Coturnix japonica: one gene and its partners. The protein of the gene in region 2 interacts with the protein of the main gene of each other region in a pairwise test. Links are inferred from orthologs where the notes say so. Each region holds a gene or a part of one and is shown on either strand. Other genes may lie near its edges.

Evidence for each region.
Region 1: the proteins of EIF4A3 (region 2) and CCDC174 interact in binary tests that used the Homo sapiens proteins (3 or more experiments, as listed by UniProt). The two-hybrid records come from large-scale screens. The link is inferred for Coturnix japonica from reciprocal best matches to the Homo sapiens genes EIF4A3 and CCDC174.
Region 3: the proteins of EIF4A3 (region 2) and PDCD4 interact in binary tests that used the Homo sapiens proteins (3 or more experiments, as listed by UniProt). The two-hybrid records come from large-scale screens. The link is inferred for Coturnix japonica from reciprocal best matches to the Homo sapiens genes EIF4A3 and PDCD4.

The regions. Positions count from the first base shown.
Region 1 is NC_029527.1:8,784,478-8,791,567, reverse strand, and holds the start of CCDC174 (coiled-coil domain-containing protein 174), read right to left. Parts: upstream 3,888-7,090; 5' UTR 3,799-3,887; coding exon 3,757-3,798; intron 3,437-3,756; coding exon 3,332-3,436; intron 2,579-3,331; coding exon 2,478-2,578; intron 1,884-2,477; exon of another isoform or gene 1,865-1,883; intron 1,612-1,864; coding exon 1,553-1,611; intron 438-1,552; coding exon 257-437; intron 1-256. UniProt on the Homo sapiens protein: Probably involved in neuronal development.
Region 2 is NC_029518.1:14,285,256-14,292,388, forward strand, and holds the start of EIF4A3 (eukaryotic initiation factor 4A-III), read left to right. Parts: upstream 1-3,385; 5' UTR 3,386-3,468; coding exon 3,469-3,640; intron 3,641-3,724; coding exon 3,725-3,797; intron 3,798-3,883; coding exon 3,884-3,950; intron 3,951-4,962; coding exon 4,963-5,025; intron 5,026-5,373; coding exon 5,374-5,506; intron 5,507-6,176; coding exon 6,177-6,257; intron 6,258-6,683; coding exon 6,684-6,825; intron 6,826-7,133. Other genes in the region: NINL (ninein-like protein), read right to left, coding at 99-188, 830-940, 2,140-2,278, 2,559-2,696, 2,786-2,853. UniProt on the Homo sapiens protein: ATP-dependent RNA helicase. Involved in pre-mRNA splicing as component of the spliceosome. Core component of the splicing-dependent multiprotein exon junction complex (EJC) deposited at splice junctions on mRNAs.
Region 3 is NC_029521.1:23,089,989-23,096,331, reverse strand, and holds part of PDCD4 (programmed cell death protein 4), read right to left. Parts: intron 6,030-6,343; coding exon 5,935-6,029; intron 4,269-5,934; coding exon 4,155-4,268; intron 3,923-4,154; coding exon 3,701-3,922; intron 3,431-3,700; coding exon 3,333-3,430; intron 1,982-3,332; coding exon 1,867-1,981; intron 1,062-1,866; coding exon 954-1,061; intron 111-953; coding exon 1-110. UniProt on the Homo sapiens protein: Inhibits translation initiation and cap-dependent translation. May excert its function by hindering the interaction between EIF4A1 and EIF4G. Inhibits the helicase activity of EIF4A. Modulates the activation of JUN kinase.

The DNA of each region.
Region 1 (7,090 bases), on a different chromosome or scaffold from region 2:
TCACATGTTGGTAAAGAAAGGGTTTAGTCAGATTGGTTTTGTAATTAATGCTAAGATCTTAGTTGAAAACATAGTAATGGGTGGATTCTATTGCACTTGTTGTCTATGTGGGAAGTAACACAAGGTACTGTCTCTTATTAAGACATGAAACAGAAAGAACCACCTCTTCTCTAAAGCCCAACAAAAAACTGTCACTGTAAGCGTTATGTGGAACAGAATTCTTTTCTCATGCAATTGCCCACTCAGCAGCACCAACCATTCTTCATCTGGGTCTTCTGGTGGTGGTATTTCCATTTCTGGCTCAATTTCCTCATCATCTGTCTCCTTTTCTAAAGTCTTTCTATCAGTTTCGTTCTGATGCAGTTCCTGTACTTCTCGCTGTTTGTCTATGATCTTCTGAGTGAAATCCACTAGGTACAAGTCTTCAGTTTCTTCATCTAAGGCAGAAAATCAATTCGTAGAGAAGAGCCGCAAAAGGAACAGAACTCAACACAAAAATCAATAGATACATCACAGGCACAATCACCTCTGCAGCTGCCAGCAATGCCCTTGTCCACACCACCAGGGAGTACCTAAATCTCACTTCAGGTCAAAAAAACTTGGAGCGGTAAGCTGGCTCCACAGTGATAACCTATATTTGTGAATACAACTTCTATGCTTTTTAAAAGCAATTATTTATGCACAGAATACAGAAAAGATACCCCTCTCCACACTACAATATTCTATGCTCATTAATTATTTCAAAGATCTGGGGGTTGTTACACAACAGTTCAAACACTTATTTGGTGCTTAGCACTTACTATGGTGGCAGAAAACAGTCACTAAAGTACTTCTTTGAAAAGTGGAGAAAAGCAGTGAGCCCACATGTGACCAAGTTGGACACTAATAAAGGGAATATTAGATACTGCAAGGAGATTTGAATTCTGGTCAATAATTATTTCTTGCAAGTGACTGAATGTGTGAAAAAAGAAAGGGCCAGATTAGGATTCTCTGTTATCTGCATGATGCAGTGCTCTTCTTCATAAAGCCCAAGAATTAGAATGCAGGACAAAAAAACAGCAATGAAATGCAAAGACTGCACTATGGAGAATACATTTTTTTCCCCCCTCTAATATTCTATATTGAAAAAGCAGATTACATTCCACCCACTTAATGACTGCCTGCATACAACAAGCTCATAGTCCTTTACGAGGACAGACTGTCCTTCAAAAAGTAATTTCACATTTCCTAGTACTTACATGATTTTCTCTCTCCAATAGCAGAATAACCCATGTTAATCACTGTATAACAGCCCCCAAAATAATTCCTCAAGGAAGAAGGCAAGCAGTGAATTCATAGTGCAGCTGCTGTAAGCCATTAGATAGTGATAGGCCAATCTTTAGGGGGAATTTTGCAAACAAGTACATGATTCTATTTTTAAATATGCTACACTAATTAATAGTAAGCTCTGTAAAAAATAATTCAATTTTAAATTAAAACAAGTAACTACTTAAATCTATCTTATATATAAATGCACACATATAACCGCTTATTTTAGATTAGCTTTGTTCACCTGGGAAATCGCCTTTTGTCATCTTCTCATACAGCTTTGCTTTCTCTTCAAGTTTCTTCCTGAGAAACAAACAAACCAACCTTTAATTTCACCAATTCCAAACACCATTCATAATGAGCCATTTATACTTAGGTAATGAGAAAAGTAATACCAGGAATGCTTGAAATATCTACTAGAAGCTGAGTAACACCTGTTGGGTTTTTGTTGTTGTATTAAAGTTTAACTGATAGTATCTGTATGGTAGAATGATACAAAGATGGTAACAAAGATAGTGACAGATACGCAAAAGGCTATTTATGAGGAAAAAGTCAACAATATGGATGTCTTCACTGGGAAATGCTGATGCAGTCTCCACCAGGAAGCAGTCTCCAAGAGATGCTGCCTTAGTGGTGGTCAGCCCTTAAATGAGGTCTAGAGGAGATGGAGTCGAGCTCCACCCCTTCCAGAAGCACAGCTAAATTACTCTCACCTGTGCTCCCACAGCTGACCCAACACTTGCCTCAGCCGATTAATCAGAGGTTCAGGCTGTGATAACCAATTTCCCATACAATAGCTAAGCCATTTAGGGGACGAATCAGATTTACAAAACAGTGAGCCATCTTCTGTCAAGTCCAAGACGTGGTTTGTGACGTGACTTCTGATGCATCACTGCCCTGGATTTTGCTTCCAAAGATGGCACTCAAATCTCAGCAGCTTTACACACTCAGATAGCTGTGATGATATGAGGGCAGATGTCTCCAGAGCATAAGAACACTTCGGTACAGCCTGTACATCACTCCCACAGAGCATGGGACTGATGCTGGTCTCACCTGTTGATCTGGTAAGAACTGCTCATCCAGAATGCACGTAACTTTTTATGTACTTTTATAAGTATTGAAAAACAAGTTGTATAAAACATTCCTTTCTTATACAGCTTAAGAATTACCTTGATTGATCTAAGGTTTGATCCTCTTCTGCCTTCTGCTCAATATCTTTCTCAGCTCGTTTTGCAACTCCTGTGTTTTGTTTGGTCCAGATGCTTGGTTTCTGTGGGAAACCATGAAACAATCAGCATTACTCAATAGAGTAAGACTTCTAAATAAGCTCTTAAACACATTTGACTTGAGACTCTACCTGCTGTGGAACACAGCAAGTACATCCTAAAAGGCCAGATTGCTGTACAATGTGATAATGAAGGTCAGGCTGAGAGGAAAAAGGAAACACATATCAGCCAAAATCTATTCTGGCAAAGTTTTCATGGGAAAAAAATGATGAATAACTGAAGTAATAACAAAGCTATGAACTGCTTGCATTCTCTCCTACTTCATTTTAGATTAAAAATACAGATTTCAGTGCCAAACAACCTTCAAGTGTGGTAACTCCAGTACTAGAAAGCTACAGAACAAATAGAAAACATATGGAAAGGAGTAAAAATGAGTGAGAATTGTCTGTTCACTGTGATGCATTGTGATAGAGAGGAGCACACAATACAGCATTTATTAAGCTCAGCAGTTCTGGATGAGTTTGCCATCTTCCCTCCTTTGGGGAAGCAAATAAGTGAGAAAGTGAGAAATAAGCATTTTTCTTTGTAGATAGAAAAGCTTTGGCTCCCCAGGAAATGAAACTTCAGAGACTACTCTGACAGGAACAGGCTGCACAAAACCCACATCTGGAAACATCCTCATGGTGGAAATTCACATGGCAATACAGCTCAGAATCCTTATTTCCTGAGATTTAAACGTGTACAAACTGCCATAGTTTAAGGGGAATGGATGACAAAAAACAGAAGATTGTTTTTACCTTATTAGTGGGTTTAGGCTTTGCGAAGATGCCGGCATCTTTCAGTAGCTTTTCCTTCTTGAATTCTTCTTGCTTGCGGAAGAGCTCAGCTTTGAGATCTACCAACTACATCACCGGCAATAGGAACAAACACATTGCCAACCATCAGCTACAGGAAACAATTATACCTCTACAGAGCAAAGCAACACAGCTATTAACAGCTATGCGAGCATTGAATTGCAGTTCTATATAGCCCTTAAAAGCAGCAATCTAATCGAGGAGGTCACTCTAAGCTTCCAGCACATATGGGAAGCAAAGCTGCTTCCTACGACAGAGCCCTACAGCAGCAGGCAACCGACCAGGCCTCGCACCACGGCAGCCCTACTTATAAGCCAAGCGGCAGCCCCTGCTGCAGATACTACCTCTCCCCTTCTCTGTTCGCTTACCGAGGAGGCAGCCACATCCAGCGGCTTCTTCCTCCGGTCCATGGCGGCCTGAGCTCACCCAGCAACACACCACCGGCTGCTTCCTCCTTTTCTTTACGGCGATATCGTAAAGCGCGGCGCTATTACGGCAGTGCTGTGTGAGCTTTGGGTCCTCCCCTATTGCTTTGCTGGGGAGGGAGGGGGTGGATGTTGCTCGTGCTCTGCATTATAGTGATAGGACTTGCTGGACTGCCAGTGCTGTAGGTGTTGAGTACTTTCAGGAGCTCAAGAGCTTCTTTATCATGAGAGTCTCATAATGTGAAGTGTTCCTGATAGTCAGACTTGGACCTGGATCTCGCCTTGTATCTGCACATGTAAAAACGTTTTGAGAATCTTGACAACCTGACTTGTAGGGCACTGTGGCTGCTCCTTAAGCTTAGTGTCTGTGGCTCCGGGATGGGAATCTTATGTGAACAGCTTTAGAAGTGTAATATTGGATAGCTGTGTAGGTACTTCAGTGCCTCGTTGTGTTCAGCAGCTCTCTATGTTGCAGGTATTATGCAGGTGGTTTTAGCAAACGTATAAAAATCACAAAGCTCTGAAGGCGACTGCAACTGTCTAAAATGCATCCTTCCTGGTTCAGTGGCATGGCCAAAATTGCAAGGGAAAGCTGTGCTACTGAGTGGTTGTATGGCTGGGTGTGAAAAAAGAATTACTCTTAGCAGTTGCAGGCCAGCACATGTTGTTGCAGAATGAAACACATGGAACTGGTGATTCTGTGGGTAGTAAAGCTCTACCTGGACATGCTTGACTCAGAATGAGTCAGTCAGTGTTGGTGATGGGCTACAAAGAATGAGCTCAAGCTACGAGGAGCTGTACCTTCCATTCTTTGTCAGTTAACACTAGCAAGACCAGTACGCTGGAACAGAGGCACATGCAGCATGGCTCTCCTACCTGCCTGCTAGAAATGTGGAGCCACTTTGTGCTGCTGTGCTTGCCTATGTGTGGGACTTGGCACTCAGTGTGCATCCAGACAGGTGGCTTCCAGAGTATTTTCTAAGTGTTGGTTCAGTAGTTCTGTGTTTTCTGAGAGCTGACAAGTTTTTGTATCTATAGCTCTCAGAAAGGCTCTGTGTCGGCCCTGATTTGTAGAAGGCTGATCTGGGGATTTTTTAATCCAGCCAACAGGCATTAATAAAATGCAAATGAAAGAGGGGGAGCAGGAATAAGAACATTTGCAAGGTGGGAAGCAAATCCAGCTTAACCTAAAGAAAGGAGGTGAGGAAGCAGGGTAACTGTGTGTATCATACAGATTCAGTTGCTTGTTTCTTACAGGGAATCAGTGAACACTTTATAAGCTACCGTGCCTGATCTAAGACTGCTGATAGCCTTGAATTCCTATGGAATAATTGATTCAGCGCTTATTAGTATGCTGCTCATTTTAGCACAAGGTTTAATTGTGTTTACTTCCACAAAGCTGCATCACCACAAAAAGCTTGTTTATTGTTGTTGAGAAAGATGGGGGATCACAGCAGTTCGTATGAAGGGGGTTTTGTATGAAACAGTGGCATCTCAGCAGCTTGCAAGATTGGTGAGAGATGTTGCACAAACTCAAAACGAATCACTTGAAAGCTCTGGTTCTGGGCTTTCCCTGTGTCTCCTCCATACAGGAAAAATAAAGAAAGGATTTAAATAGGAATCCAGTGTGGGAATACAAGAAAGACTATTCAGAGCAGAAGCTGTGGAGCAAGATAAACAGCATGAGAAAGCAAGGCTGAGAACCAAGGACATCTCTAGAAGAGAAAAGCAAAAGGAACGGCTCATGGCTCTGATTGGATAAGCACCTGCATGCATGCTTAGGAAGTGTTTGTGGATACTTTGTTAATGGGAAAGCTGGCTTTCCCATCTGCCTTTACAAAAAAGGGAACTTGTGAATATATAAAGTGACATGAGAACCTGTAATAAACTATTTGGATCATTCACATCTGAGTCCGTGACTGGTTTCCATAATCCAAAAGTAAATTATGTTGATGTCGGGGAGATTTGCTGCTCTGAGACAGATTTGCTTATCATAGAAAGTAAGAACATCAAAGCCCTGGGGCAGGATGAAACCTGACTTACTTTCCACATCTTGGCTTTAAGATGAAATAAAACTGCGGGCCAATAACGGCTGGATATTTGCGAGACACTGGTGCTAGGACACTGTGTCTTCATGCATTTTCGTAACCACTTGACACAAGGAACATAACTGTGCTTCTCTGTGGTGGAGAAATTTCTCTTGTCTTTTCTTTCTCCCAAAGTTTTCATCTCAGAAGTTGTCCTATGAAGGAATTTGGACTGTATCAACAAACACCTTTTTAATAGGGAAGGAACTTCTTGCTTTCCATAGTTTAATTCTCCAACCAACCATGCGCTTTGTCAAAGAGCCATTGTGTGAGACCACAAATAACTGTGGCAAAAGCAAAGCTGTTTGCAACTTAATTTTTGTAATGTGGACATCTCTTCCCAAGATCAAGTCCCAGCATATCTCTTTTTTACTGAGTTCTGTCTAAAGAAATCTGAAAAGTAACCTAAGTTTCTGTATTTGAGCACTGTATTATGGAAGTGCTGAGTTGGTGCAGCAAAAAGGAACAGGTGGAGGAAACCATGAAACAAACCCAAAACTTTGCTGATCATTAAGTCTAGATGGGCACTGTGGGTTAGTTGTATGTGCGTTAAAACGAGGATTTTAATTCTTTGATTAAGTGCTCGAAGTTTTTGTGTGATCCTGGGCAGAAAATCAAAGGCAGAAATGGTGCACAATAATAGTGCTTGTAACATCTCCCTGGTACACACAGAGCTCTACTGCTCTTTGCTTCTTGTGTCACGAGCTGCAGTACCAGCCTGCTTTTGTTCTGGCTTGTTTTTCTTGCAAGCTACAAAATAGGTATAGAGCACTATTCTGGCTGTATAATGAGAAATTGAAATTGTGTCTAAAGTAGCCTCTTATTCTAGGAAACCAGCATTTTATAAGGCACTCATTTGTGTTTAGTGTCAACAACATCTCTTTTTGAGTGTTATGAGAAAGGGAGTGGCTGTTATGCACTATTGAGTTGTAATTCTGCTGATGCAGCCAGAAAATAGGGATTCCCTAAAAGCAGATAACAACTTAGATCAGAAATAGGTTTAATGCCATCTTACCACAGCACCCGTGGGAGGGCCACAGTTATTGCAAGTGAAATGAATTTAGAAAGCTGTTATTGATGACTATGGCTTTTGTATACATTTTAATAAGCTTTGAGAATGGACATGATGATGATTCCTTCTTCAGGGAATGCGTAAATGCTCTTAAATCTGAAAAAAAAAAATGAGTTCC
Region 2 (7,133 bases):
CTGCCCCAATCCTCTGCCACAGAGTGAAGCAACCAACAGATGTGCAGGTGACAGCTGTATGTTCATGACAGCACTGCTGCAGAGCTGCCCCCTTGTACCTGGCATTGCCGCTCGTATTCCAGCACAAGCTCTGCAAAGTATTTGCCATGGTTCAGGAGCTCTGGGCTGTGAGGCTCTTCCTGGTCCAGCTAAAGAAGCACAGGGAAACACTTCGCATCAAGAAAATTGTCACCTCTCCAAATGGAGAGCCAAAAGCTCTACAAAATCACTGGAGAGTCACAGTCCTAAAGCCCTAGATTCAGAAAAGGGCTCCTACTGACACCAGTGGGATGGGTCAAGTGCAGAATGAGGGAAAAGAACATCTTTCTTCTGAAGTAAGAGACACCCAACTACAGACAGCCTGGCTTCCCCAAATCAGCCACCAACAACACTGACTCATTTCTTTCCCAGATTCCTTTCTTTCCCTTTTTCCATGCTCCTCACTGGAGTGGAAGCTTCAACTACTAACATTAACAAGAACAAACCCTTTATTCAATACTTGTTAAGAAGAAATGGTTTGAACATGTAATTGTCACTTGAAAACTTCAGATTTGTACAGTTTTCTACACTTGCAAATTTCCTCCTTTCAAACCTTGAAAGGCCTTAATTAAGGCACAGTAAGTCTTCTTTCCAGGTTGTCACTAATATGCAGGAGAATTCAAAGTGGGGCAGGGGGGAAACACAACAACTGAGCTGTAATAAACCAAATTTCAAAAGAAAAAAAAAGATTAACCTTTTGAAGAGTTCTCCAGAAGACCCCACTTAACCACAACACAGAAACAAAGGCTACCTTGTCCTTCACAACGAAGCTGAGCTCTTTCTGAAGCTCCAACACCAGCTTCTCAGAGGCTGTCAGTTTCTCACCCATCTCCATGACTTTGTTTTGCAGCTGTGTGTTCTCCTGCAGTAAAAACAGAGAAGATTTTTTGCATTGGGGGTCTTCACACTGCAGGAAAGTTTATCAGTTATGGGCCTTCAGTGGGAAGCTGCAGAACTACTAGCACATCAGTATGCTGATCACAGCGCAGCTCACAGGAAACCCCACTTTGGCCAGGACAGTGCTGACATGCCACATGAGCTAGAGTTTGGCTCAACTCTCCAAACAACAGAAAGAGGCATAGGTTTTATAGAATAAGAGCTAGGCAGCACTGTAGGCATGTCTGTACCTCTGCTTCACAGAACTATCTTGTCTGTGCCAGCACACTGAGAAGACATCAACTCCTCTCTGAACAACCCAGTCTTTACCATCACTTTCTGTGATGATATAACTACATCAACTGATGTTGTCTGTCCAGACTTCTCTCCCAAATGGAAAGAAATGGATTTGATGAGTGGACCATTCAATGGACAGGGAACTGGTTACAAGATCATACTCAGAGAGTAGTGGTCAGTGGCTCAGTGTCTGAATGGAGATCAGCCTGAAGAAAAGAAGTCTCTGAGGAGACTCAGTAGAGGCCTTTCAGTATCTAAAGGGGGGCTACAAGAAAGAAGGGGTGAGACTCTTTAGTAGGGTCTGCTGTGATAGGACAGGGGGAAATGGCTTCAAACTAAAAGAGGGGAGATTTAGATTGGATAAAAGAAAAAGGGGTATTTTTTTTTCACAATGAGGATTGTGATGCACTGGCACAGGTTGCCCAGAGATATGGTAGATACCCCATCCTTGAAGACATTCAAAGTCAGGCAGAACTGGGCTCTGAGCCATCTGATCTAGCTGCAGATGTCTTTGTTCACTGAAGGTGGGTTGGATAAGATGACCCTTAAAGGTCCCATCCAACTCAAATGATTCTAAGATAATATCTCAGGCATGGGCACACCTTTGTCCCTACTATTTTATGTTCCTTCACACAATTTTAGCCTCAGCCATCAGATCAGGTGTCACTAAAAGTTGAATCTTTCTCAACAGACTACGTGAGGGTTCAATAATGTCCTGCCCAGCAAATCTCCTTATTTTAATTGTGCAGTATGGATGTGACTCACAACTTCTCCACAAAATCCTGCCCTTCCTAGCAAAAGCAAGGCAAACTATCTGGCATTGTCACCACTTCTGCTTTGATTCCTCTGAAGGAGTGAAGACATTTAATTCAGGGTAGTTCTACTTACCTTCATCATGAGGTTCAGTCTCCCATGAAGGGTGGCCTCTTTGCCCTGGAGGAACCGTGCATCAGCCTCCAGCTTCACTTGATGGCTGATGGCTTGCTGCAAAAGCAGCTCTTTCACCTCCATTTCAGTCTGAGCATCCCTGGAACAGACAAGCAACATGTCTGAGAGCAGTTGAAACACATTCTCAGATTACTGTGAGGTCCAGGCATCCATGCTCACCCCACAAAAAGCAGAAGAGCAGAACTTGTTTGGAGGGATACAGGAAGCGCAAGTGAAGTGCACACAAGGGATCTTCAGGGGCTTGTATGCCACTCACACAACGTCCAAATAAGTGAGATATTCAGAAAGGGGGACTGGGATAAGGAGGAAGAGACAGTGGGGACCCATTTTCCCTGTTCAACCAAAAGAACCCTTCCTACTTGAGCTTGCCCTGGCTATGGTTAAGGGCGATGTACTGCTCGTCCAACTCCCTCCTGAGCTGCAGGCAGCGTCTCTCTGCTTTCTCCAAGTCCAGTCTGGCCGTGTCCCTCTCTCTGGAGATTCGCCTCACCTGGCTTCTGCAGGCAGAGCAAGGGTGCGTTCAGCTCAGAGACACCTCCTGCAGCCCAATGGAGGCTCTGCCCCTCACGAGGAGCAGCACCCTTACTTGAGGCACTGCAGTTTGTACGTATAGGAGGTGATGTCTGCACGCTGCAGCCCACTCTGTGACACCATGGCTGTGCTGTCCAGGGCTGCAGGCAGCTCTGCCGGGCTCCTTCGGTCTCTGAAACAGAAGCACTGAGTGAAACCACTCTTCCTTTCTGTCAACACCTCTAATGTTACGCCACCTGACTGCTCTCAAGAGGCAGCTTCCCATCTCAACAAGAGCCTTAGTTACAGAATCACAGAATCACAGAATGACCCGGGTTGGAAGGGACCTCAAGGATCATGTAGTTCCAACCCCCCTGCCTGGCAGGGCCACCAAACATACACCTTTACTAGATCAGGTTGCCCAGGGCCCCGTCCAACCTGGCCTTGAACACCTCCAAGGACGGGGCATCCACAACCTCCCTGGGCAGCCTGTTCCAGGACCTAGTTAACACCCACCCCAGCCCTGTGGTGGCCAAAGCCCACCCTCCCATTGCAACCTGCCCACGATCAGTTCTCCCACCCCTCACACACACACCAGCCCCAAGCCCTGACCCCAGCTCCAAGCCCCGCTCGCTCCCGTCCCCGCCCCTTCCTCTCTCCCACCTCTTCCGCCGGATCCCGCTCATGCGCAGCGCCCTGTGTGCGGCGGCGCCGCCATTGTAGTAGCTCGCGGTTAGGGCGACCAGGCCTGACTGAGCCATGTCGGGGTCCGCGGGCTCCGGCGGCACCACCGGCTCGGCGAGGAAACGGATCATGAAGGAGGAAGACATGACCAAGGTGGAGTTCGAGACGAGCGAGGAGGTGGACGTGACGCCCACGTTCGACACGATGGGGCTGAGGGAGGACCTGCTGCGCGGCATCTACGCCTACGGTGCGCGGCGGGAAGGCCGAGGCGGTGTGGGGGAAGGGGGGGAGGAAAATGGCGGCGTTGCGCTGTAACAGCCATGTCCTGCAGGGTTCGAGAAGCCGTCGGCCATCCAGCAGAGAGCCATCAAGCAGATCATCAAGGGACGAGACGTGATCGCGCAGTACGTGGGCCGGGGGGGAGGGATGCGGGGGAGGGGTGGGTGCTACCTCCGGAACGGCAGAGAGTTCACTACACCTCTGTTCTCAGGTCACAGTCGGGAACAGGGAAAACGGCCACGTTCTCCATCTGTGTGCTGCAGTGCCTGGACATACAGGTAGGCCATACTTGGAACATGGCGGTTGTCTTTATGTGAGGGTGGTGAAACACCGGCACAGGTTGCCCAGAGGCTGTGGATGCCCCTCCCTGGAGTCATTCAAGGCCAGGCTGGATGGGGCTGTGAGCAGCCTGGTCTGGAGGGAGGTGTCCTGCCTATAGCAGGGGTTGGAATGAGGTGGTCTTAAAGGTCCCGTCCAGCAGGTCAAAGGAGGTGATCCTTCCCCTCTACTCTGCCCTGGTGAGGCCTCATCTGGAATATTGTGTCCAGTTCTGGGCTCCCCAGTACAAAAAAGACAGGGATCTCTTGGAAAGAGTCCAACGGAGGGCCACAAAGATGGTGAAGGGCCTGGAGCATCTCCCCTGTGAGGAGAGACTTAGGGAACTGGGTCTGTTTAGCCTTGAGAAAAGAAGGCTGAGAGGGGACTTGATCCAGGTTTATAAATACCTGAGGTGTGGGAGCCATAGTGGTGAGGCTGGTCTCTTTTCAGTAGTGCATGGGGATAAGACTAGGGGTAATGGGATGAAAGTACAGCATAGGAAGTTCCGCACGAATGTGTGGAAGAACTTCTTTACAGTGAGGGTGACGGAGCACTGGAACAGGCTGCCAAGGGGGGTGGTGGAGTCTCCTTCTCTGGAGATATTTAAGACCCACCTGGACACCAACCTCTGTGATGTGGTGTAGGGAGCCTGCTTTGGCAGGGAGGTTGGACTTGATGATCTCTAGAGGTCCCTTCCAACCCCTACAATTCTGTGATTCTATGTTTGCTTTCATTGGAGGGCTGAATCTATTTCTCTGGCATGCATTGTGTGGTCAGGCACAGTCTTATAACATAATGTAAGGGGCTATAAATGTGTAAGCACTCCATGCGGGAGCAGCTTTCTGGGTGTGCCGATGCAAAATTGTACCATTGATCATTCAGATGTGACAATTCAGGGTACTGTGGGCTCTATTCTGTTTGTTTCTGCTTGCACTGTACTTGCTATGTGATGAACTGCCGTGTGATCAACAGGTTCGCGAGACCCAGGCACTGATCTTAGCACCAACTCGAGAGCTGGCTGTGCAGATTCAGAAGGTAGGAACATGTGAATTACTGCCTGTACGGTACTTATAAAGACTGATGCAGATTCTCCAAGTGTTCCCCAGCAGAGCTAGAAGTGCAACTTTTGCTTTTCAAAGGAATGCGTTGTCCTGAATGGAATAAGAAATCCCAATGAAGGGCTGTTTCTCCCTTCTGTGTTATATCCATTGGTCCTTACAGGATGGGTTAGTTAGCAGTCTTAATGTTTTACGTATTCCTACCTGGATTTCTAAGTACAGTACTCTTTAAAAGTAGTTGTGATTCCTGGGATATAAACCAAATCCCCAGCCTTTGAAAGCCTGCCATAAGAGCTCAGTTGATTCATTATTTATGTCCAAATAGGGTCTTCTTGCTCTGGGAGACTACATGAATGTCCAGTGTCACGCCTGCATCGGGGGGACCAACGTGGGTGAAGATATCCGAAAGCTGGATTATGGGCAGCACGTTGTTGCTGGCACTCCAGGCCGGGTGTTTGGTAAGAGCTGGGAGACTGTGTGCTTCCATGTTCACACTTCAGTTGAGCCATGGGACCATCCTGCAAATTTAATGCATTTAGATTTGGAATAGCATGGAAACTGCATTTATTGTGATACCATCAGTGTATGCAGTGATGAAGAGCAACAAAGGGTAAATTCACTGTAGTAGTAGCTGGAAGAGATGAGAAAGCAAACATTGGGGAAAGAATTAGGATTATCTGTTTATCCCTTGCTTTTATTAACAAAGTGGTTGTTTACATCGTGCCATAGAAAACAATATTATTAATGGTGATAATATTGCAATCCTGGGCTTATCTCAGTGTTGTGGAAGAGATAGGAGCTGGGTCTGTTTGAGTCTCAAAACAAGAAACAGAATGCCCATGTAAAATGTCTGTCTTCTTCCTGCTTATAAGCTCCCTTCCACTACTGGAAGGCTGCAGTGAGGTCTCCCTGGAGCCTTCTCTTCTGTGTCCACTTCCCCTGGTTGCAGGGTGTATTGGGGAGCACTGTGGCACTTGGCTCTGCTTTTCCATCACCAAACACCAGTCTCTGTTGGCAACAGGGGAAGTGCCAGTCCCTCCTCCAGTGAAATGCACTGACAGCGGCTGGGAGCAGTGTAGGCTCACTTGCTTTCTGAGCCTTTTCATCTTACAAAGTGAAATCTTACAGATATGATCCGGCGACGAAGTTTAAGGACTCGTGCTATCAAAATGCTGGTTCTGGATGAAGCCGATGAAATGCTCAACAAAGGTGAAATTTTGATCTCCCTCGTACTTTTCTCTACTCACCTCTTTGAGGTTCTGATATTGTCTCAGTCAGTCAGTAGTCCTGGTTCTAAAACCAACTGGTTTTACCAAAGCCAGGGAATCACAGTTCTATTGTGTGCTGTAGGAAACAACTTAATATGCTTTGCTTAACTTGGTTATTGTGTCCTTTTCAGTAGTTACAAATTGTGGAGTGCTGGTTTTTGTATTGTACTGTGCAGCACAGCCATGTCACGCTGGGTCTGGGAGAACTGGGCAGAGATGAGCAATGGGTGATGCTGGCTGTACGATAAAAACACTTGGTGTTCTTACAGTGTAGGCCCGCTGCTGAATTCCAGTTTAAGCTGAAAGAAAAGGATATTCAGGAGAAAGCTGTGCCGACTTCCCAGTGCTAATTGATTTCCTTTTGCAGGTTTCAAGGAGCAGATTTATGATGTGTACAGATATTTACCTCCAGCCACGCAGGTGGTGCTGATCAGTGCCACTTTGCCTCATGAAATTCTGGAGATGACCAACAAATTCATGACAGACCCCATTCGCATCTTGGTGAAACGGTGAGTGAGTTTTCTTGGGAAGAGCAGTTCTTGTCTTACTCGTGTTCCTTCTCAGCACTGCAGTTCAAGTAGGTATTTACAGACATCTTCATGTTGCACTTTGCAGCAGGGGCAGCCTTGTCTCTCTGACTTTATCCTTGTCCATTTCTGTTTGCTGCTGCTCAGTCTGACTTCCCTCACCCTCCCAAGTACTGTAGTCTCTTCTGGAAGCCTGTCTTTCGTTCCTACTCAATTCCTGTGCTCCTCCATTAGACTTTTGTAGGTGTCTTCTATTGATATTATGGAGTATGGCTAGAAAGCTTAAAGCT
Region 3 (6,343 bases), on a different chromosome or scaffold from region 2:
CTTTTCATTTGGTCCATAGTAATGACAGAAGACCTCGAGAGAGATTTCAGCAAATCCAGCATCATTTTAAAGGTCTTTTCTCCAGTAGACTCCAAAACCATCACGATTGCCTAAAACAAACCATGCAAGGCTTTTAATTAAAGGAAAACAGTGGTTTGAGTGCAGGTTGTGTATCAAAGTGCAAAAAAAGAGTGAATGTATTTCTGGGGAGACAAGTCCATTTGCTACAAGCAGTTCCAATTCCAGAATATTGTTATTTGAAAGGAAAGCAAAGCCTGATAAAAAGTTATTGGCATAAAGCTGAAAGGTATGAGAAAAGAGGAAGGACTGGGCAGAGTAAAGAACACTGCCTTGTTGGAGGGATACATAACTGGATCTGCATGGTTGCTGCAGCACAGATGGCAATTAATTTTGTATCCAACCATTTCAAGTGCAAACCAAAACTGCCTACTAGATACAGCAAAGATCTTTCTTGTATAGTCTGGTTCTGAGTTATCTCAGCCTTCTACAGAGATACTACATGGAACAATTCCAGCCTGCAAAGGAAACTATATCTTAACAAAAACAGGCAACACCCATTAGAATGCCCAGATGTCTGAAAACTGTTGTAACACGTAATTAAAAGGAAATAAACTCCAATACAACCTAGGGCTTTTGCTGGTATTCCTCAGCAGAAAATAAGCTAAGCTCTTATTTTTCAGGTATCAGTAATAGTCTGAACACAGCTAATTACCCAGCAAACAAAATAAAATTCTGGATCTTCCCAGAAGGACCAGCAGCTTATTTATTACACAACATACACACAGTGAGCACATAAACCATTAACTTTACATGAAGTAATTCAGTTACTTAAATAACATCAAAACTTGAAACTGAGCTTCAAGTTCCAGCTAAATGCATACCCACATCAAAACAACACCCGGCAGTCATTAAAGGGACTCATTTCTCCTTACTTCATATACAAGTTCATGGTGAAAATGGGGTACTTCCAGATCCTGAAGGCAACGTTCAGCTTCCAGCAGGTCTCCAGAAAGCAAATATTCTTTCAGCAGCATATCAATCTATTGCATTTTAAAACAAACAAAACCCATCACTAGTTAGATACAAGATTTAAAAGCTGCCAACTGTTCTGCTGATTGGTGATCAATCTAGTATCAAGCTAGTTCCTCAAACCTACAGCTAGAGTTCTAGTAAATGGAATTAAATTGAGATATGGGCAGGACCCTCAAACATACTGTAAGCCAGATACGTCTTTCTGTAACGTAACACAGATGTGCTACCACTAAAACTTTGCTTCAAGTGATGACTGCAAGTTTATCTTCTTGCCTGAACTCTTTATCATCTGCTACACTCACAGCTCAAGAGAATATAATGTGACTATTTATTTTAAACCTTCTGCCTACTTCGTAGCACAGATCTCCTAAGTTTTCTCAGAACTTCCTGACTTTTATTTTCAAGTTACTGCTGTGCTTTATTTTCTGGCATCAGTGACTAAGACTAATTTCATTTCATCTCTAATATTACTTCACCATTTTGTACTATAAACTCTCTACAAGTTAAATGCTTGAAGTTTAGCTTAAAGCAAGAACAGGTGTACACTTGCAGTGCAGCATATGAGCCAGTATGTTCCCTCCACTGATCACTAGGGATATCCACCTCCATCCACAAAATGATCCACATCAATTTTCATAACCTACTTCGTATAAAGTAAACTGAAATATGAATATTAAAAAAAAAAAAAGCAACACCAGACATCATTTAGCTGCAGGATATGTGGATATGTGCGTTTCTTTGCTCCGTCCCAACCAAGATAAGCTTAAACGAGGAGCATACTCTGCAGAGAAGAGACTTGTAGAAGTCAGCTACCTCTTTAACAAGGTGTTTCACAGACTGCTGGCCACCTCCCGAGCCCCACACATTGTCTATGCGCTTCCCACCCTTTGTCACGCTCAGCAACACGGTAGCTCGGTCCAGCGCAGCTCTAGAAAGTAAAAACAGTGTTTTAGGAAGTTAGGAAACTTCATTAGAAGACACCTGGAACATCCACAACAACCCCACCATATCTATCACTTTTCTTCAGTCAAAGTGATCCTGATTGGGAAGAGGTCACACCACCCTCACGCTCTTGGTTATACTGCACTAAGGACAGGGAATGATCCTGCAATGGCAGTAGGTCGGAATCATCAATTCAAAGGAAAGAACAGTTTCTTTGCCAGAGATGAATTGCATCCAGTCTGCTCCAAGAATTCAGCTTGGAGGTACATCTCAAAACAAGAGGTGTGAGTTGCTTCCATGCTCAAGAGTGGCTTTTGTACTGAAATAAATTTGCTATCTAAAGAACTGTGAGCCTTTAGAGTTCAAGGCAAAACAGCACTTCAGAAGGCAAATACGTAACTGCAAAGAGATGAGAAAACTAGAGTAGGTGAGAAAAAGAAGAAATGTCAGATCCAGTTAGGCACTATCCAGCAAGAAGGACCGGTTATCTCCCAATCCTCATATTAATGTTAGTGAAAAAACTATTCACTGAGATTTAACAAGCAGCAAAGACTGGCCATTTGTTTTGCAGTGAAACTGCAGTGGCAGCAAAACATCCCAGATGTGCAACACGCAGGCTAAGATCCTCCATACCACAGGAGAAACTGGAATAACAGACTAACAGCTTTCTCAGTGTGAACCCCCAAGTGAGGCAGCTGAGCACTGCCCTTCTTCCTAGAAGCATTCAGCTTTAATTGTAACAACAGAGCTTTTTTAATAAGAGTTCAGCACCTCATTATTGAAGTCTGAAACACTTATGGGAGAACAAACAATAAAAGCCCCTGACTGGTTATTACAATTTCTCTTCTCTCAGACCTTCCTTCAAACATCTAACCCCGAAACTGAAAACGTGTATTGATGAATAAAGTGCCACAGTCTAGGATAACACACTGCACAAACCTGAAACCTTTATGAAGCTAAGCACTTAATCCCTTGTGTATTTCACAACAGCTGCCCTGACGCTGTTACTCATTAGTCCCATTAAAGCCTTTTCTAAAGACAAAACCTTTTATAAGCACTTCTTGTTTCAGCTCAGGCTCCCCATTCAAAATTAAGTGGGACAACAAACCCAACAAACTGACCTAAAAGGTATCAATATGTTTTTAAGGCGCTTCAAGTGTTTCTTAGCTGACCTGAGTAAATCTGGGTTTTGTTGTTATTGCAGACTGTGCATTTCTGATCTCTTAACTCAGAATTGAACTCAGAGAACCAAATGATTTGTACCCCAAGTCCCAAATTCCTGATTTTCTTAGGCATTTGAAATAGAAAACCATAGCTGTGGACAGCAAGAAACTTACCGAGCTTGGATGCAATCCACAGTGCCTTTGTAGCCATCTATGTAAGTATTGCTCAAAATCCCATCTCCAACAGCCCTAGCAATAAACTGGCCCACCAACTAAAACAAAACAGAAGCACTTTTAAGTAGAAGTTGAATCTGAAAACAGTTTTAAGCAGACAAATACAATATGCTTGGTTTTCTGATTTTATATATTTTTATCTCAAAGTAAAAGCACAGCCTGGGAAACTGGATACAGGGACTACAAACAGGAAGATTCTCCATAGCTGTTTTTCCATATACAGTCTTACTTCATTTTGCGTGATTAATTTTAGGCACAATTTAAAAGGAAAAACTTTTGACAACCAACATAAAAATCTGCCAACCTACCTGTGGTGCCCTGGGAGAATCCAACACCAATTCAGGTAGATCTTTAAGCAGTCTGTCAAATGATTTTTCCACATCAGTTTTGCTTACTACTGTCCCACAAAGGTCAGAGATAAGCTTAGATGTCATCTCCCTGTGACTAGCCTTCCCCTCTAACGCCAAGGAAACAGCCAGCACTGGCACACTGTATTTCATTTCACCGAGGTTTAAATCTTTCAGCATCTCCTAAAATAAAATTTGTAAAACAAAACAGATTAAGATCTCACCATTTTAATACTATAGAAATGTAAGTTATTAACAAATATTTACACAATACATGCTTCTACCCATGTAATGAATATAACTGCTTTGGTATTCCTATGCACATTTCTGGCACACACTCATTTACAAGCACCTGGGACTCACTTGTACACTATAAGCTTGCCCCCTAAATTAAGTGTAAAGGCACATGACATACCGAAACCTCGTTAGTATCTCCATGTTCAAAATATTCCTGTATGATCGGTGTTAAAGTTTTTTCAAATGCTCTTTCATCCAGAGGTAAAACTACTGTTTCATAGACACAATTCTCCTATTTCAAAAGGAAACAAAAACATAAAGACTTTTGTAAACAAGTGCAAACAGAGTCAAAACAATCTACATCTCTAATGCTTTAGTCCTCATAGTCAGTATTCCACCAGAAAATGTCAGATTATGTCTCTATGGTTGAAGTGTGCACAAGGCCAGCTATATGTCATACTTCTTGTATTTTGAGTTTAGTGTTAATTGAGCTTACTGCTAAATGACAGTAAATACTCCTAGCATTCTTCTGACACCATGTGAACACAGAATCAAGTACCCTGGTACTCAAGGGAGGGTGATAGAAACTCCTATCCCAGCCCAGCAGAGTCATCAGTTCCACAAGATATAACTTTTAGCAACCCTCCCTACAACCAATGTTCCTGTCCCTACCAGCACGCCTGCTTGTTTTCCCTCTTCCCTGGAGGACCTTCATGATCAGACAAGTGACAGCATGCATAGATCTGCCAGACACAGCAAAGCACTTCCAGAACACCCTTAAGCCAAATTATTCCCTAACAGGAAAACATTACACAACAACTGGTCCTGAAGAGTTCTAGCATGGCCAGGACTCCCCACTATGATTTATTTCCTCATAGACTACAGAACGTTTGGAGTAATATTAGAGATTGCTGCAGTCTCAAAGAAATTTCCAGCAAATACTTACAGAAAAGAAATATTCTAGGATCAAGAATTACAGCAGAAGCTCAAAGGCCTACTCTTCTATCATATCGCTTCATTTACAATCTTAGAAAAGCTAAGCAGGCAGGAGTTTAATGCAATTCTCAGTTTTCATACAAACTTATTTTATGCAATCACCAACTTCATTTTCAATAGCTACCTCTGCTAATCTGTGATGAACTGGTGGAAGAAGTGATTCTGAAAGAAGATTCTGACATACCCACAGAGCATCATGTCAGCAGCTATGGCTACAAATAAAAGCTGCAGCTCAAAAGACACCACCATCACTCTGCTGTTGTTACACAAACTTTATTTATGGTCTCACAAATGCATCTGTTGCAGAGACATCAGTAATCCATGTCTGTAATCTCAGGGTTTTAATCTGACAAATTTATTTAGGAAACGCTGCTTTCTTTTTGTTGTTGTTGATAATATAGCTGTAAGGTAGAATCTTCCATAACATATCCTAAATACATGTAAATAAACAGAAAATCCAGGTCCTCAGCTTCATGGTACCTTTAACTGTTTGTACCAAGATGATATTATATCCACAGTGTTAGGGATACAAAGAAGAGAGAAATCCTTAAAAGGTAACAGATAAACTCCCAGCTGCAATCTGTGCTGCACTTTAACATGGTGCCTGCTTGCAACTCAGAGCAGCACTGCAACACTCAGCTCCATGAGAACCAGCAAGGAAAGAACACGCCTGGGAAAAACACACTGTCTAGTGTCTAGTCTATACAAAACCATGACACTAGTCAAGTACAGAAGGAGGGCTTGGGTGTAAGACCTATGAATGCTATCTACTGCAGCACTTCTACACCAGTCATCTTTAAGACAGTAATCCATTCTTAAACAAAAAAAAACAAGTACTTAATAGAGCCGGTCAAACACCCATTTAACCTGTGAGGTGAAACATTTATTAATATGAGCATCACAGTAATTTTAATTAATATAAAATCAAAACAAGCACTGAGCAAAGAAGTCTGTTGGCCTACCTGGTCATCATCATAATTAGGATCCTTAATATCTACTTCTTCCACATCATACACTTGACCTGGTGTTCCCCAGACTCCTTTACCACCTGCTCCACCTGGCAAAATAGAGAACAGTGAGCAACTAAGAAAGGACAGACAGTTCACAAACAAGACTTGAAGTCAACCCAACACTCATTCACACACAGCTGTGCCTGTGGCCACTGACTCCAGCAACATATGCAGAAAATGGCAAGAGAATCTGTATGACACGTTCAGCAGCTAGTCTCTTCATCACTTTCTACTATGATATTAGAAGCGGCGTGCACAGAAGTGCACAAGAATTACTGAACTTTTTAATACAGTTACTGCACTTTTAAATATAGTCAAGCCTTCGGTTTATGTTAGTAACAGTTCTGTGAACCACATGACC